Linked DNA regions of Styela clava. The protein of the gene in region 1 purifies or fractionates together with the protein of each later gene. This does not show direct contact. Links are inferred from orthologs where the notes say so. Each region holds a gene or a part of one and is shown in the gene's direction. Other genes may lie near its edges. The genes, in order: ubiquitin conjugation factor E4 A-like and UBX domain-containing protein 4-like.

Evidence for each region.
Region 2: the proteins of ubiquitin conjugation factor E4 A-like (region 1) and UBX domain-containing protein 4-like purify together in Homo sapiens (affinity purification with mass spectrometry; 3 studies listed by BioGRID and IntAct, counting the BioPlex papers as one, with this or other methods). This does not show direct contact. The link is inferred for Styela clava from reciprocal best matches to the Homo sapiens genes UBE4A and UBXN4.

Annotation. Positions count from the first base shown.
Region 1 is NC_135263.1:10,183,069-10,191,783, reverse strand, and holds ubiquitin conjugation factor E4 A-like, read left to right. Parts: upstream 1-4,449; 5' UTR 4,450-4,854; intron 4,855-4,892; 5' UTR 4,893-5,066; coding exon 5,067-8,309; 3' UTR 8,310-8,705; downstream 8,706-8,715.
Region 2 is NC_135251.1:29,721,057-29,730,453, forward strand, and holds the start of UBX domain-containing protein 4-like, read left to right. Parts: upstream 1-5,157; 5' UTR 5,158-5,177; intron 5,178-6,397; 5' UTR 6,398-6,430; coding exon 6,431-6,512; intron 6,513-6,920; coding exon 6,921-7,023; intron 7,024-7,752; coding exon 7,753-7,781; intron 7,782-8,236; coding exon 8,237-8,355; intron 8,356-8,672; coding exon 8,673-8,727; intron 8,728-8,909; coding exon 8,910-8,949; intron 8,950-9,397. UniProt on the Homo sapiens protein: Involved in endoplasmic reticulum-associated protein degradation (ERAD). Acts as a platform to recruit both UBQLN1 and VCP to the ER during ERAD.

The DNA of each region.
Region 1 (8,715 bases):
AGGGGCCATGGACCTTTCCCCGACCTTTGACCCCCAGAAAATTCTCTCTATACTTTACCATTGCAAAATTTTCGGGGCTATTTTAAGAATGCTTTTGCGAGTTGGCGCCTGTAAAATGGGGTATGTGTTTCAAACCATCATTATGATTCATCGCATACAACAATCTGTTTTTTAAAAGTACCGGTAAAGAATTTCACGCTAGTCTATCACAGCTATTTCTACACTAATTTTTATTACTGCATTTGAATCAAAACTCCTAGGAAGACAGAGTGATCATTGAATTATCTGATTTATATTCAAGTTTCCGAAACACATTTGAAAACTAACGAATAAAGTTCAAAAACGCAAAAACGAGGTAATGTTTACAACCACGCTTGAAAATCTGTCTGAGTGAGAAAAGTGTCTGAGCGGATACGAAAATGGGGCATTGTTACGTCACGTTTTGCATCTTACTGATTGGCCAATGTCACGAAGTAAACAAGGAAGTCGATGCTCGGGGAAAGGTCCATAAAGGAGAGGCTGTGAAGAAGAAGAAACCTTTCCCCGAGCATCGACTACTTCCTCGTTTACTTCGTGACATTGGCCAATCAGCGAGATGCAAAAAGTGACGTAACAATGCTCCCTTTTCGCATCCGCTCAGACACTTTTTTCACTCAGATTTTCAAGCGTGGTCGTAAACATTACCTCGTTTTCGCGGTTTTTGAACTCTATTCGTTAGTTTTTTTGTGTTTCGGAAACTTAAATATAAACAGATAATTCAATGATCACTCTGTCTTCCAAGGAGTTTTAGTTTAATTGCAGTAATAAAAAAATTAGTGTAGAAATAGCTGTGATAGTGTGATAGACTAGGCCAGTAGGCCAGGGGTGGGCTATTATATATACGCTTTGGGGGTGGGCAAACCCTGGCACGCGTGCCAAACTTGGCACGCGAGCCCTCGGAAACGAGATCATTCTTTTTAAGATAAAAAGTTTCAAGACTCTGAATCTGATGAAACTCTATGTTCGTTTATTCATTATCGTTTGTTACTTGTTAGCAATCCGTTATTTATTCAAACTCTTTTTTGATTCTGACATGTGCGATGTCCGATGTACATACATCCTGATACCGGTACCGTACAGGCTGACAGGCATATGGTACCTAGCGAATGAGTGTTTAATAAATAATATTATGGAAGTTTAATGATCCTTTATTTATCCATATATTTACTGTAAAATTGAATGCAATTATTCTTTTGTTATCAATAGTGCGATATACAATTCAGCAATTTGGATCATGAAGAATGTTATCATATATGAAATTAAAAGACCTGATATTGCTCTCCTTAGAAAAGCAGATAAAAATGGCCCTAACCTAATGTATAGAAAAAATATAGAAAACTCCACAGTAGTAAACAAACCCTTTGGAAAGGAATTACAAAATTTATGCGAAGCGTTATATAAAATAGTAAATTATGCTCATGATAAGTTTTTTCCCCTTTTTTATTGTTTTATGTGATTGTAATTATTAAAATAACATAATTCTTATGGATAATTATCGCTGATGGAACAAACTGGAAAAATTATGAAACCTAATTTAACAACTGGATTATGAATGTAAACTGGACTATGAACTATATTTTGTACTTTTATTTATTTTACATATACTGTGAATTGTATTCTTACTTACGGTAATGTAGGAATCAAAAGTTGAGCTAAATGATTTCATTGATTATCCATTTCGTTCAGTTTTCATGTACGCGAGCTGCCGAGGCTGATTGCAGCACCATTTAAAATTATTACTGTCTTCCCAGAATAGTCTGACAGCACAACCAAGAAGGCATATTACATTATTATTGAAGTATTAGTTTAAAAATATTCTCCTTTAAATTAGTTGAATAAGGTCTATTGCAATGGTGGGCAAACCGCGTCTCGCCAGAGTTTTTATGCGGCTCTCCTCGCTAGCAATAATTATGATCCAAATTTAACTAAAAGAAGCTGTAGCGAAACAGTTTTTTTTTAATTGTTAAGCGGTTGAGGAAGTTTTTATCAATGATTAATACAAATTATGTTTTAGCATGAAAATGGTAGCGTGCAATTTGAAGTTAAATCAGTCAAACGACAAATATTACATCACAATGCTGCAATGATCAAATGAACGAATGATCAAAACTTGTTAGTAATGTTTATTATATTGTATGTTTACAGATGATATTCAAACTTAGTAAATGGAAAGCTAAATTGTTAAGAACATCACAATGCTGTCAAGCAAACTATGCCATGTTTCATTATTCTAGTTTATTGAGTCAAAATCATTATCAAATTTTGGGAATAAAACAAACAGCTACACAAAGCGAAGTCAAGCAAGCTTACTTCAAACTATGCAAGGAATATCATCCAGATAAGCATTCAAACAATAAAGTTAAAGCTCAACAATTCTTGAAGATAAGTGATGCCTATACTGTATTAAGTAATACAGTCACAAGAAAAGAGTATGATGATAAACTAGGTAGGCGTCGCTCTTTCGACACAGCACATGAACGTGAAGCCTGGTCATCTGCATATCGAAACAACCCTTATGTGAATAGACATCAGCATTGGGAATATTATCAAAGACCTCCCTATCGAGACCCTTATGATCGTTATACTAGAACACAGCGAAATGAATGGAGGCATGAAACGAACTACAATGAGCATTCTCGTGACAGACTAACTAATTATTGGTTTCATTATTATAGACAACAAGGTCACGGTGCTGGAAAAGTTAATTTAAACTCTAATCAAAACCCAGATGTTCTTATGAAAGTGTTTGTTATATGTATTTTGGGGTTACTTTCTTTTAGATTTTTTGTGGCTTTTAAAATCTCTCGTAACAGGACAGATATTGACAATTGGGAGGGAACAGAATTAATAAAACATAAGAAAATATTAAGGGAACCATCAGACTCTAATGAGCCACAAACAGCATTTTCTGGTAGTGTTAATATTGCGCATCCAAAATTAGAGGATGCCTAAGAGGGTTTATATGTTGAAATAGGTCGATGCTGTTTGTTAAAAATTAGGAAAATATTTCTTTCCTATTTAATAGATATGTCACATAGTTGAGATTTATTATTTAGAATCTCGAAAAATTTAAAAAAAAATTACTCTTTATTTTCGCCATGTAGCCTACTTCTGACTAGTAGCATTTGCTAATAATCTGAAAGTGAGTAATGATCAAATAAAGATATCCAATTATTTTATAAAATCAAAATCAAATTTTTTTGAATATTATACCTATTTAATTTATTTTTCAGTCTTTTCATACTAGACATATGAAAGAAATAGTGTTTGAATGAAGTTCAGTCTACGACCTATTTGTTTTTGCCATTTATGTAATGTTATCTCAAGGTGCTCCCACATTCAACTTGATGCAAATATTGCTGAAAAAAATATAAATATCTATTGCACTTGTTTTTTGTTTTTGATGATAAGATAAGAATTTTTGTATTTATGCCAAGAAAAATGGCAGTCAATAAGTGACAGCTTATTAATAATCATTCAACAAACCATGCCAATGGGTGACGACTGACGAGGAAGTCATGTTCAACCAGCCAGGGATGCCAAGAAGTCTGGCAGTTTTTTCAAACAAATAATGCCCCACAGAAGTAATCGATGTGACCATTAATAAATTATATTCTAGACTAGACTGTGAAGTTGATTAGCCAGTCCAATATACTGTCAAATGTATAATTATTTTCTCAGAAAGTATTTAAGTCTTTATATTAAATAAAGGCATTATGCATTAATGCCATGTCTTTTAATAGCGTCTTTAATGCATGTATGCAAGTCCGACCATATTTTCCAATTAGGGGCTTCTGTATAAGTCAGTGGAAAAGCCAAAGTCATTATGAAACATTGGATATACCAGAAGATTCAAATTTAGACCAAGTTAAAACTGCGTTCATTTCTAAGTCCAAAAAGTATCATCCTGATAAGAACTACGGTGATGAAGAAATGCATGCAAAGTTTGTAAAACTGAATGAAGCATATACTGTTCTTTCTGATCCAAACCTGAGGTCTGCATATAATTTTGAATTGATGAAAAAAAGCAGGATGTACTCATCTCCTTTAATACAGAGGTCAAAGGATTATAAAAGCCCATATCGGAAAAATAGGGATGATTCAACAGATTGGAGTGATTTTTATAGTACTTATGGCGGTGGAAAAGCATACAGAGACATGAAAGCTGAATCTGACTCTGAATTTTGGACACAATATTGGGAGAATACAAAAAAATTTGGAGGGGGTGAGATGCAAGAAGGGATGAGCCCTCCCCCCAAATCAACAATTGGAACAGAATTGGTCGTTATTTCGGGAGTATTATTCGCAGTTTATGTATGGGGGATGTATATCCTATCTGGCAGGGAGCCGCATAATGCTGACAGCTTTAATTCTGAACATGAAAAATGGTTACTGGCACGTCAGAAAAAATGATGCCATTTTTAAATTTTTTGGATAAGGCCATTGTTCAGTTCAGCACTATTTGCCACCTCTATTTCTTTATATATGAATTCTAGTCCATGCATCTCACAATTGACTGTTAACTATTTCTGTATCAGAGATTCAGACCTTAAGAATTGATAAAGAATGAACAAGCAATATGTTTCAAGTTGTATTGTTGCACTGTAAAGTAACAGCTCATTTTGAAATACTGTCTTTCTTCAGTTTTCAGTTGACATGGCCGAAAGGCCATGGACAGCGACATAGTTAAATGGTGTTACCGAATTAAAAAATCCTGTTGTATAGGCAAATTCATGATCTATTTTTGAAATGGAACAGAACCTTACTTCAGTGTTATTTTTGACCCATTGTACTATGATTTGCTTCAAAAGTCTTGTGATTTGTTCTTATGATCTTATTATGTCGATTATAAGGAAAATGTTCTACTCTAAGAAACTAAGGTGTATGAATTTTACAAAACTATCTTCCCACCATTATATATTATATTGAAATAAATTGCGGAACTATTTATGATTATTGCCAATCTTTATTTCTTTTTTAATGAATAGCCCCTGTTAGTTATTATTATACTGTAATATAAAAATAGCATGGATAATAGAGCAAGCAGTAGTAATGCTGAAATGCAAAGCAACCCATTTGCAGCTTTACTAGCTAATTCTTGCAATGAACCTATGGAGGTTCCAAAACTATCAACTCAAACTGATTCACATATTGATGAAAGCGGAATTGATTTGCCGGGACAAGTCATCGAAAGCGAAAAAGAATCTCAAGATGTCACTCAAATGACTTTTCCAAGTGAATTATCGAACTCAAAGTTGAACCAACATAAAAATGATTTAGCGGAAAGAATTTTTCTTTTGACTGATAATCAGCACCTTAATACCAGTGAGGAAGTGAAAAGAGATTTGCCTTCTTTCTGCGTTTTACTGGATAATGATGAAAGTGGTCCATTGCATGAAACAGTCGAACAGCTCATCTTCAACCGTCTTTTGTTAATAGACCCTGAAAAATCTCTCGTGAAGCGATCAGAAGAACATAATGAAACTACAGAAAAGGAGGCAAAAGAGGATCGTCCTCTTGTTTATTTATTGCAATCTTTCAACAGATTAATGCATGAAGAAAAATATATTCCACCAAATCTTTTATCGACAATATCATTTTATCGTCAACTGATTGTTCGAAATATATCAACTGCGTTTATTAGCCCAGAATTATTTATGGAAATTGGAAAAGAAAAAGGAATGGTTCACCAACAGTTTTATAATATGCTTGTATCGAATGATTGTTCGGATCCCACAAGCCCTCCTAGACTTTGCTTGTATAGTGTTGCTGATTATTTCTCAATGAATGAGCCTGATCTGATGGAAGCCGCTTTTGCACCATTGCTGGAAGTTCTTGCAAATGATCTCGGCCTTGATGATTTATTAGATGCCGGATTACACGTTCATCTTGCTGTTTTGTCAACGTTCGCTGAGCATCCTGGCTTAGCAGTTGTTACTTTGAATCATGATGCTAAAATAGATGGAAAGTTGGTTATGGAAGGAACACAAAAGAAAAGTTTTCTTGACATTTTATTCGGAAAGTCGTGTCTTGTTCCAGATCCACAAACAAAAGCGTATTTGTTTTTTGAAGATGTTGCGAGGATGGGTCCAACTGAGGTCGAAAATGAGGAATATCATCTTCAGAATAAAACAGATGGGTTCCATTCTCAACTGTTTTCTATTATTAGACAGTTTCTGAAACACAAGTCTACCCGTTCTAAGACTTTGCAGTGGTTTGGTAATACCATTGCTCATCATGGTTATCTTGCAAAAATGTGGTCGCACGAACACGTCGATGTTTTTATGGATGTGTTTGGTCCAGATGCGACACAACTTAATATTAGCAGCGTATTACTTCGTCTTTGTTTGCCCTTTTGCTCAGAAAAAACTGTTGTAAAAGGTATTGAAGAGGGGTCCTCGAAATCAACACCTCCCAAGTTTTTAAAAATTAATTCATCATATATTGATGTCACGGGACAGCCTGATGCCCATGCCAAGGGTGTACATGGCGTTCAATTACACAAGGATACCCGGTTGCAATCAACTGAAGACAATACACCAGCGCCAGTAACTATAGCTGACTCGTATAATTTTATCACAGAGTGCTTTTTCTTAACACACCGTTCAATTTATCTCAGTGTCCATGGCCTTATCAAAAAATTTTATAAGTTGAATCGAAGTTTAAATCGTGATGAAGATGTTTATCGTCAGATTCGTGCTTCTGGACAAGATCCAAATGGACACGCAGCTCTTGTTGTCAAAAGGTTCGAGACGGGTATGCGTAATTATTTGAGTATAAAAGGAGTGTTAACTGAGCCCGCTTTTCTCAAAGCGTGCATTCGACTTCATGGTACAACAGCACAATACTTGAATCATATTGCCATGTCAGACAACAATGATACACTGGCACGAGTTGTTCTACCCCTTCCTGAGGGCGAAACTGTGCCTAAAGGTCTTTACTGCATTCCTGAATATGTTGTGGAAAACCTTACCGATATGCTATTGTTTATTTGGAGGTTCGATCGTTCATCGGCGCACTTGTTTAACCCATTTATCCATGACATTCTTCTTGTTATTACGATTTACATGGGAAATAAAAGTAGAATGTCAAATCCACATTTGCGTGCCTCTCTTGCTGAAGTGTTACCAATTGTAATGCCTTTATCTGAAGATGATAATTCAAAAAGCAACAAAGAAGAAATTTTCAATGCTTTCCCACATTCTCCATTTTTAACTGTTGCTACTCTTCAGCTTTTTGTCGACATAGAGTTTACTGGCGATCCAAATCAATTTGAGCAAAAGTTTCACTATAGGCAACCCTTGTATCAAATCCTAAAATATCTATGGCAGAAGAAATCTTGTAATGACATGATCAAGAAGCATGTAAGATTGGCTATCAGTAATATTGATGAGGTTTCGCATCCTTTGTTTTTGCAATTTACGAACCTGCTTCTCAATGATTCTATTTATTTATTGGATGAAGCCATGGGGTTCTTGACACAAATAAAAGGCCTTGAACGTGAGAAAGCAGCAGGCGAATGGGAAGAATTGAATCAACAGGAAAAAATGCAAAAAGAAGGGGAGTTGAGACAGTTAGGAATGCTGGCAAAATATCACAATTTATTATCAAATGACACTTTAGACACCTTGGTTTATCTCACAGAAGCCAAAGAAGTCAAAGAACTTTTTAGTCATCCATCTCTGGCTGATAGAGTAGCTGCCATGCTTGATGACTTTTTGTTAAAATTAGTTGGGCCGAAAATGGGTGCGCTAAGGGTACGAGATCTTTCCAAATACCAGTTCAAACCAAAAGTACTTGTAGTGGACTTATGCCAAATATATGTCCACCTTTGCGTAAAAGATGATTTTTGCCATGCTATATCAAAAGATGGTAGGTCATATTCTAATAAGTTATTTCCAATGGCCTGTCAAGTTCTTAGACGTATCGGTAATGAAGAGTTACGACAGAAAATGATGGAAATATCTGAACGCGTCAAACTCTTTAGCAGTCAAGAGGAGGAAGAAGAAGAGATGTTTATGGATGCTCCTGATGAATTTTTTGATGCCTTAATGTCAACATTAATGCGTGATCCTGTGACTTTACCAACATCAAAACAGGTTGTAGACAGATCTACTATATCAAGACATCTGATGAGTGATCCCACTGACCCATTTAACAGATCTTCTCTTACAATGCAAGATGTTATCCCAAACACAGAGTTGAAAAATAAAATCACGCTCTGGATTGAAGAGAAGAGGAAGAAAAAACTTGATGAATCTGATAGCTAGTTCCAATACCATATTTTATGGCTACTGCCGCTATGCAATTGTGTTGTGTGTATAATTTTCCTTTATCCATGGTAGGTGGTGACTCAATCATACAGTGAACTGGGTCAAGTATAAGATTGTACAAATTCAATTCGCTGAAATATAGGATTCGCTTATGTATATTTGTACAAATTGCTGTACAATGATGGGAATATACCAAACAATCGACATCGACCGTTTATACCTGAACCATCATCAAATTATGTAAATAATATTTAGAAAGTATACATTCATTCTCATCTTCTTTAAATATAGTCATTCTGAAGTTTCACAGTGTTGTATGTATCATGGTATTCAAGATACCTTTTGGTTCTAGCTCAAATCGCTACTAAATATCAATCACCAGTTTTGAGGCAGGCCTGGTTTC
Region 2 (9,397 bases), on another chromosome or scaffold:
CCGCGACCGATGAAAAACGCTTTTTTAGACATTGCAAAACGCAAAATTTCGGGTGCTACGTAGTATACGTATACCAGGGCATCCTCCCTTAGGATTGTTTGCTTAACTGCCTCAACATTGATACGCCGTACAGTACTGGTAAGTGTTGTACGAACAGCTCAGATATGTGGAATTCACAAAAATAAAAATCGTAAGAAAATATAATCGGGCTCTTTACCACGCATTTTTGTGTCCACGGATTGTCATGATATTTTCTGAGTAGTATTGCTTTTATTTCGCCAACACAATCGCAGATTAAAATGATCACAATTAAATTAATAAAAAGTAAGGCGATGAATATTCATTTTTCATTTACTAATATATTTTGAATATATTTTTATTAAGTACTGAATCAAGTTGTACTTTCTGGAAATTTATAACAGATAGTGAGATTTTTCTAACAATGATAACAAATATGCAAGATCGCAAAAATATGTAACAAAACTAAATATAATCGGGCAATATAGTCTCACATTATTATGTTCACAGATTGCCGATTGGCATTTTGAAAAAGAAATGCTTTCACCTTGTCGTAAGTCGACGCAACCGCGAGTTACCATGATCACAACTAAATTAATATAGAAAGACATTGGATTGAATATTGCGCGAAAGAAAGCCAATTATACACCAAAAAAGTCGGCTCTTTTTAACGAACGCGTAATTGCGGCGAATTTCCGATTTTGAAATTCGTTACAATTCTGTTGTATTTGATTTTATTGCTTCTTTGCACAGGCGCAATAAACGCTCTTTGAGTCCGCAAAGATTTTCGCGGGTGGGAAAATAGTCCGCGACCAAAAAAGGTTGGGAAACGCTGATCTAAACAATGCTTCAACATGTATATATTTATACTTTTAGATATGCCAAAAAAATTTTGCATTATTTTGTCGAGTGTTTTTAAATTATTGATTTGTAATAAATAGCAATAACTTTTTTGCTACTGCAAAATCCACCACATTCATTGAGTGTTTGAATATTTCTCCTGGAACCGTTACATTTTATTAATTCTAATTTGTTTTATAAGGTATTCAAATTTTTGTTTCAAATAATACTTTGTCGAAGTGGCTGTTATACTTATATATATAAAACATACATGCTTAGATGATAGACAAGGCCCAAGCTCCAATTGTCGTAGGCAATTTATTTCAAAATACCGTAACTAAAATATAAATTTTTGCAGACTGCTCGAAACTCACTTTTGAAGAATGATTTGCTGTCACCAGATGGGGTTTTGGCATGAAAACACATCTAGAGGGAGTTTATGAAGATATGACTAAAAAACATTTGAAACAGCTATGTAAACTAACAGACCAACATGTTTAACTCAATAGCTTGATAAAAATGTCTGTTAATTAAATATTCAACACAGGTATAGCAAGGTATTGTGTTAGATATTTATTTATTGGATCTATCTCCTATTGAGCATTTAAATACTCGGAGCATAATTATTATTTCTAAAATTACCAACATTATTCAGGTCATTAATAACAGATAAACCATGGAAATTTTTCTTTCTAGGTTCTTCCTGCATCTGTTGCTGAGATTTTGGAAATGTCTGAATTTGAAGCAACTGCCAAGTATTGCAAACTGCAGAATATCTTTCTTGGCATATGCAGCGGCACTACTGACGTGGCATCCCTTAAAAACGGAAATCTACTCCCTCTGAAACATCTGGAAACAAAAGACTGCAGTGAATCAGCCAAAATTTCATAAATTATTTTACACACTAGAAGTCTACAACAGGTGATTAGCTCAAGGATTTTTTAACAAAATAAATGCTATACAGCTACATGCAATACATTTTGTACTCATATTTAAAAAAACAACAACATTTCATTGCTTCTCCAGCGTACGAAGGGCTCCAACTACTGGTACTTCCAACATGTGATATACCATATTACACCAAACATTTGTCAGACCCCTCTTTAAGTGTAAAATAAAAGTCTTCTCTATTGTTTTACTATATCATACATATAAATTTTTCGTGGCTTGAAACAATTTTTAGAGTTCGACCATCGGGACTATTATAAACTAACATTTGCCGGCTTCCGATCAGACCTGCTAGTGTTTTGGTCTAACTTGTAAATTAAAAATTTCAGACCCTCCCTCCCCCTTCAAAATCTTCAGCTATGCCCGTAGGCCCTCACCCTAAATATTGAATGAATTGCCAAAAGATTTTCAGTTTAAAAAATGCATATTTTGCAGGTCGCGGGGCTGAGAATCCATCGGTGCTCCAGTTGATTGAAAAGTAGCAAGGAAAAAGAAATAAATATGTAGCAATTTCCACGTAATAGAATCTAAATTGCCTTTTTATCCCAGCTAAGAACCACTCCCAAAGCCTTAAAAAACATCAATAGCACTATTAACATAACTCGATATCCAGAGTTTAATCACATTAGTAATTAAAATAATAATTTTTATTTCTATGGATTATTGAGAAAAAAACTTGGGTACTCCAGAAATACGTGTACCAAGATGACGGACAACGGAACATTGTATGTGTACCAGGTTAGGCCATACTTTTAGGTACAAATACTACGAAACTCACTTGGTTAGTCCCTGAACTCGTAATAGAACTAAAATAAAGAAAAGTTGGAATAAAAATTATGTCCTAACCCTAACGTGGTACACATACTACGTTCCGGTGTCTTCATTTTTTGGTACACATACTTCAGGAGTACGAAAACTTTACTGTAATCACATATATATATCTTAATCTTTGTTTTAGCTGATTTGTTTCTTCAATTGTTTTCGTATTCCACGAGTCCTATTGTTCATCTTGTTGTTATTATTTTGGCTACAGTACTCTGCGTATACATTTGCTCTAATTTTTGTAAATATACTTTTTCAAGTAGTGTTCTTACATCTTGACATTCAGTTACATTGTTTAATAGGTATTCGCTCATGAATGATTTGAAAATATTTTTCTTTTATATCAAGTGTCGGATGTTCAATGATGTGATGATGGAAATAAATTCCAGCCGCTTGCGTGTATTGAGGTAGCCCTTGTATAATCATTGACTCTTAAAAAGCTATTTATAGATTGATTTGATTAATTTCTTAAGCAGAGCCTTGTGTTTCTGGGTTGCAATGTGAAAGAAAATTGCTGCTTTACCTATGGATTCCAGATTATTGTCACATTCACAAAAGCTGTAGTGCGCAAATCACTGGCCCTTCGTTTCGTTTGACGCCGTTGTATTCTTTCTCATAATCATCACGGCAAATGTTTTTACGTTTACTCATTTTATCTCTCACGAAGTTCCAGATCTAAACTAAATTCAAATTTTAATTTACCGGTATATTCATTCATAAGGTTAAAAATAAGGACACACGTCAAAATAAAATTGTTTCTTAGAAATATGGACAAAAATATTTCCTAAAACAAAGACCTTTGAAATAAGGACAAATTCTAAAAATAAGGACGTTATGGCAGTCCTGATTATAGGTCAAGTGGAGAAAAAACTTCTGTAAAACCCACAATACTTGAGATGGAGTGAGACCAAAAGGCTTTGCTACTAAGCGTTTTTTTTACATAAAGTGCAAACTATTCATTTTTGTCACCACCAGTAGGCCTACATCTGACTGACATTTTTGCAATGCATCGCATTTTTGATGCCTTGCTCTCTTTCGACAAAGAAGTTATCACATCATCCTGGTCATTTGCATGACAGACTGTGTCTTCATTTTCACAATTATTTGTTCATTTTTATCAAAATCTCCATGTCCTTCAGCAAATATTTCGATCAGTCATCAATGAACAGGGCGAGTTTGCGAGCTGTGATACAGGAGCGTCGTCGTCGTTAAGCACCTTGTCAGAACCTAACTGATCGTGACGCCCGCCACTTGGAAGTGCAACATCGCCTTTGTTTGTTTATTATACGGCGAGCGGAGTTGGACATCTAGTAGTAGTATATATCAATGAGCATATACACAACCCAAAAAAGTTTGAAAACTCGTCGGATATCACTATAATATTTTTGTTGGAATATATTCCCATATAAGTCTTCTATCCAATGGTATATACAAATCTTTGCCGCCGAGAATGGAAAGATTTGAAATAATTCGATTTTTCGTGAAATAATTTAATTTTTCCATAGTCAATCATTTTCGAACCCCAAAGAGTCGAAAACTCGTCGAATGTCACAATATTTTTTTTATTGGAGTATGTTTCTATGTTAGTCTTCTATCAAATGGTATATCCAAATCTTTGCCCCCGATACCGGAAAGATTCGAAATAATTCGATTTTTTGTGGAAACATTAAATTTTTGCATAATTGCAGATTTTCGAACCCACATTTTGTTTGACCAGAAAACACCGCAATATGAAATTCGGGAATATAAGTTTGATATTTGGCTGACATGACAGTAGGCTATTTACTGAAACATACCGGTTACTTACCTATTATTTTTTCATCAATATTTTAGGCAGAAAGATTTTGAAAATATATAAAAGATATAAAAGAGGGTACCGGTAAGCATAAAACTATTTATAAAAAAATTGTTATTTCTATGACTGGGGATAGATTAATTTTTCTACACAATTGTAATTTAAATATTGCATGTGAGAATATTCATAATGATATTCTGGCAAACTATATGAAAACCTTTAATTTCAAGTTAATGTGGGATATTTTAACAGTAAAAACAAAATCTGGAATAAGAAATATTGCAGGAAATGATATGTGTGTGTTATGTCAGTATGTGGGAAAGAACCAGAATTTGTTAGCCATCTAGATGATCTAGGCTATTTATGAGTTTCGATGAATTTATGAATATTTTGATTATGTTTTTGATTTTATTGAAAATACTGTTAGGAAATTAAATAATGCCAGACTTTTGAAAAATTATGAAACTTGTGTTTTATTGGATTTGAGGTATTTCTGTATTTGTTACATTCCAACATTACAAGACGAGATTTAGATATTATTGTTTATTTAATTTCAATCACTAGATATAAAATATGGATACAAAGAAATTCTGGTATATTCGACGGTAGTCCCCCTAATCAGCACCTAGGTATCAAACAAATAAAAGCTGCAATCACTTACAGACTCAACATTGAAAAAAATAGAAAAACCCCCTACCGTAATTTTGTCAGAGAATTTGAAATACTAAGGAATCGTATTTGAACCATAAATCAAGTATGTATAAATTTAGTATGTATAAAAATGATTTTAATTCCTAATTGCTGCATATAGTTGGGTAGCATATTGCTCAAAGTTCAGAATCCACCCTTCTGCCCTTCCGCTCCAATCTAGGATAGGATAGGATTTACATTTTTATCCCGTGGGAGAGGAAAGCCGATAAGACGGCTTAACCATATGACGAATCACGGCCTCTCGTCCGGTTACCATTCCATGTCGGGTATGGGATTAGTTAGTTATTATTTTGAATATACAGATATATCTTTGTGTGTTGAATGTGGGTCAGTGGGTAAACTGGCGCATGTATTTTTACATGTAGGCCTATTAAACCTTTAAAAAGGTTTTCCCAATCTTTTGTGTGTTCATTGTTTGTGTATGATTTTTTTGCGGGGAAAATCTAAATATACCTATATTTATACCGGTACTTAGTTATATTTATACTTAGCTCGGCGATGTGGCGCATCGTGCTAAGTGTTAGGAATACGCTCGCCATCGCATCTCTGATTACCCTTCGTGGGTTTGAATCCCATGCGGGGATGATCATGTGCAGAGGATTGCTGGACTCCTCGCCGCCGCAGGGTGGTTCACGTACTGACGTAACCGCTGGTCTGTTACCGTACGGCTTCCTCCACCATCAAGTCCATGCTTCCGAAAACAAATAACTGGCTAACTAATCCCATACCCGACCTGGATTGGTAACCAGACGAGAGGCCGTGGTTTGCCATATGATTAAGCCGTCTTATCGGCTTTTCTCTCCCCTGGGATAAATATGTAAATCCTATCCTCCTAGTTATTTGTTTCCAGAAGCATGGACTTGATGGTGGAGGAAGCCGTAACCGAATGGCGGTTATGTGAACCACCCAACCGCGTGGAGGAGTCCAGCAATCCTCTCGCACAAATCTATACTCGCATGAGATTCGAACCTGCGAACCCACGCAGAATAATCAGAGATGTGGTGGCGAGCGTATTTCTAATGCTTAGCTCGATAAGCCACAATCTAGCCCTTATAACAACTGACTTATTCAATTCGGTACAGCAAGTCAGCAACACGACCAATATTTCCCATAAAACTCCATTGTTTCGCGTTTCCCAAATATGGCACGAGATGGCGTCCATCTGTCCATGAACTTGTTTAGCATTAGGCGAGTTGGTTGCCGTTCGTTGACCAAACCTAATCTACGAATCTCATTATTATAATTTCATTGTTCATAAACTAGCATACTACGGTATCATAACAGCAAAAAATCACCATGGTTTGGTACTCTGGAAGTATACCCGAAGCCATTGCAGAATCAAGGAAAAGCTCAAAGCTGTTTGTTGTATACATTACTGGTTAGTTCTGTAATCAATTTTACAATAATCTGCAGTAGTGTGTCTGTGTGTGCTGCCTCATTTCAATATTCTGTCACAACCTGCAGACCTGGCAAATTACAACTTGATCAATATACTGATAGGATACTGGGATAGGATTTACATATATTCCCCATAAAACTACATTGTTTCGCGTTTCCCAAATATGGCACGAAATGGTGTCCATCTGTCCATGAACTAGTTTAGCATTAGGCAAGTTGGGAAGACTAGTCTGCTAGTATTTGACTCTAGCAGTGTTTCAAATATCTATCAAGATTTTCAGAATAATAGATGTGCACAGCCCAACTTGTTTCGAAACGATTCTACATGAGAAACTTGAAAAAATTATTTTTAATGTATTTGTAAAATGTGTATATTTATAACTTCAAGGTGATGATGAAGAATCTAGTAGAATGGATGAAATGTGGAATAATGAAAGTGTCGAAAATATTTGCAAATCAATGTGTGTTACTCTTAAATTGAGTGCAGAGAGGTAATGAATGCTTTCATTTATTCAATATATATTTGAAACAAGCACATACTACATTTAATTTCATGTTAGTTTTAATACAGTTATTAATATTTAGGATATTGGGTCTAGTGTAGTTTCATACCTGAAGTATTTCTGCATATGTTAATCCTAACCCCCACCTGACTGTGTCGTCCAAAAATGACTTCACAGTGACGTAATATAGCCTTTCAAAATTACGAACTATCATCCAAGACGCGCAGACGATCACCCAAAATCAAGCAAGTTATTTCTCTCGTTTTCTCATCGCAACTATCCTCATATGTAAAGGTTTGCTGCCGTTAGTGATTTTTTTGTTGTCGGCGCAGATTCTATTTCGGGCGATCGTAGGTATACTTTGGCAACCTCTGTGATTTAATTTTTGAATGACGTAGTTAGGCGGGGGATAGGATTGACATGTGAAATTGGTATGTTACGCCCACTAGAAGTACTTAGGTTCGAAACTACACGAGACCCAGGATGTTTGCATTGCATTATATTGAACGAATATCACACATGACAGTGGCCTGTTTGAAGAAGTAAAATACAAAATTTATTTTGTTAGCATAATAACATACTATTATAAAAATTGTTTATAATAAACATACCATCATGATCTAACCCATTCAGTAGTTCGCAGTGTTCTATAGTCTACTGACTTTGTGAATAGATTGAATTTTCGAATTCATAAACAACTTTATTTTTTTTCTTTAGTGAGGGCTGCAAACAGTTTTCGGCAATTTGTATCCTTTTAATAAGCAAGTAATACAATTCAATGATACTATATATACGATTGATATGACTGACTGAAATTAGATGATCAACTGTTAAATTTCGACTGTTAACTGCCCAGATTGCCAGATTTTGTAATATGGGTTCAACTGAACTATTACTGTTCTGTAAAAAATTCCTGTAGTCTTTAATTTAAATATATATACAATCAATTCAATTCGAACTAAATCATTGTTGTCCATGAAAATGCTGCATTGAAATATGGATCAAAATGTATTGCTCATGATTGGAGCATAATCCCATGCCAACCTTTATGCTAATGTTGAACATTTTCATTTTTTCGGTATAAAATTCATCTGGTATATTTGCGAATGACAAATCAAATACAATTTTTATATCAATCACATTATGCTATTGTTCACTTATTACTAATTCCTGAACTGTATTTTAATTTAAATACTGAAAGATCCGGTATTAAAAGTACCAAGTGCACATTTTATTGATAATAGTGGTAAAGTATTAGAAGTGATTTATGCGCAGTCTTCACTTGATGATTTTGTACAGAACCTTCGGAATATTACCAAGGTATGAAATAAAACAATTTTCAAGTATTATGCTTTTATATTTTATATTGATTTAAGCTCAGATTATCAGATACATAAGGCAATAATGTTAATCTTTTCTCATAGCCTATTTAACAAATTTAGTGATAGTACACTCAATGTGATTTCCTTTGTTAAATTGGTAATATTGTGAATAATATTAACGATGATTGGAATAATTCAAAATAATATATTAATTATGTTGCATTTTTTGTTGTATTTGATTTCTCAGTTTATTTTTATAACTGAATAAGCCAATATGAGATTGAGATATTTACTATCTTACATTAATTCTTTTAGTTTGAGTCAAATGCAGCAAAAAGTTCATCAGAGGTTCAAGAGGAAGCTAATAGCGGTAACATTGTAATTTATATACTAGTGTTGCGAGAATGATTCAATGCAATTTTGTTTGAATATTCTGTATACATTTGATAGTGCAGCTGAAAATTTATGTTGTAGAATACATATTACATAAAGGTCATATATGCCTAGCAATTTTGCATTTGATGATCAATGTTAATCTTTGTGTTTTTCCAGGTCAGACATCAGGGGCAGCGAGCGACGAAAATATACCAAAGTAAGTTTTTAACAGTGATAAAAATAAGTAGAATATAGATTGATTCCTTTTTTTAATTGAAATGCATAATGATTAGTGACATCATAATTATTTTAAACAAAATTGTTAAGTTTAAATTTGGGGAACAGAAGAGATAAATTAGATAACCCATGGTCCTATATACACATTCATTAATATCGAGAGAGCCTTTAAAATTTTTTCATCCACAATTCGGTCTAGATGGGTTTTATTTGTCTGTTGCCAATTTTGCCAACAAGATTCAATGTAATTTTCTATAATATATTCCATTAATCTATTTTGATATATTCAATACTCATTAGCCATTTTTCGAACACAGTTGGTTGCTGTAATCAAAGAGTTATTTCAAAATTTTGAAAACAATTATTCCAAGAATAGTAAGAATTTTACAATTTTAGTCTTAGCCTGACTCCTTTTTCAATAAACATAT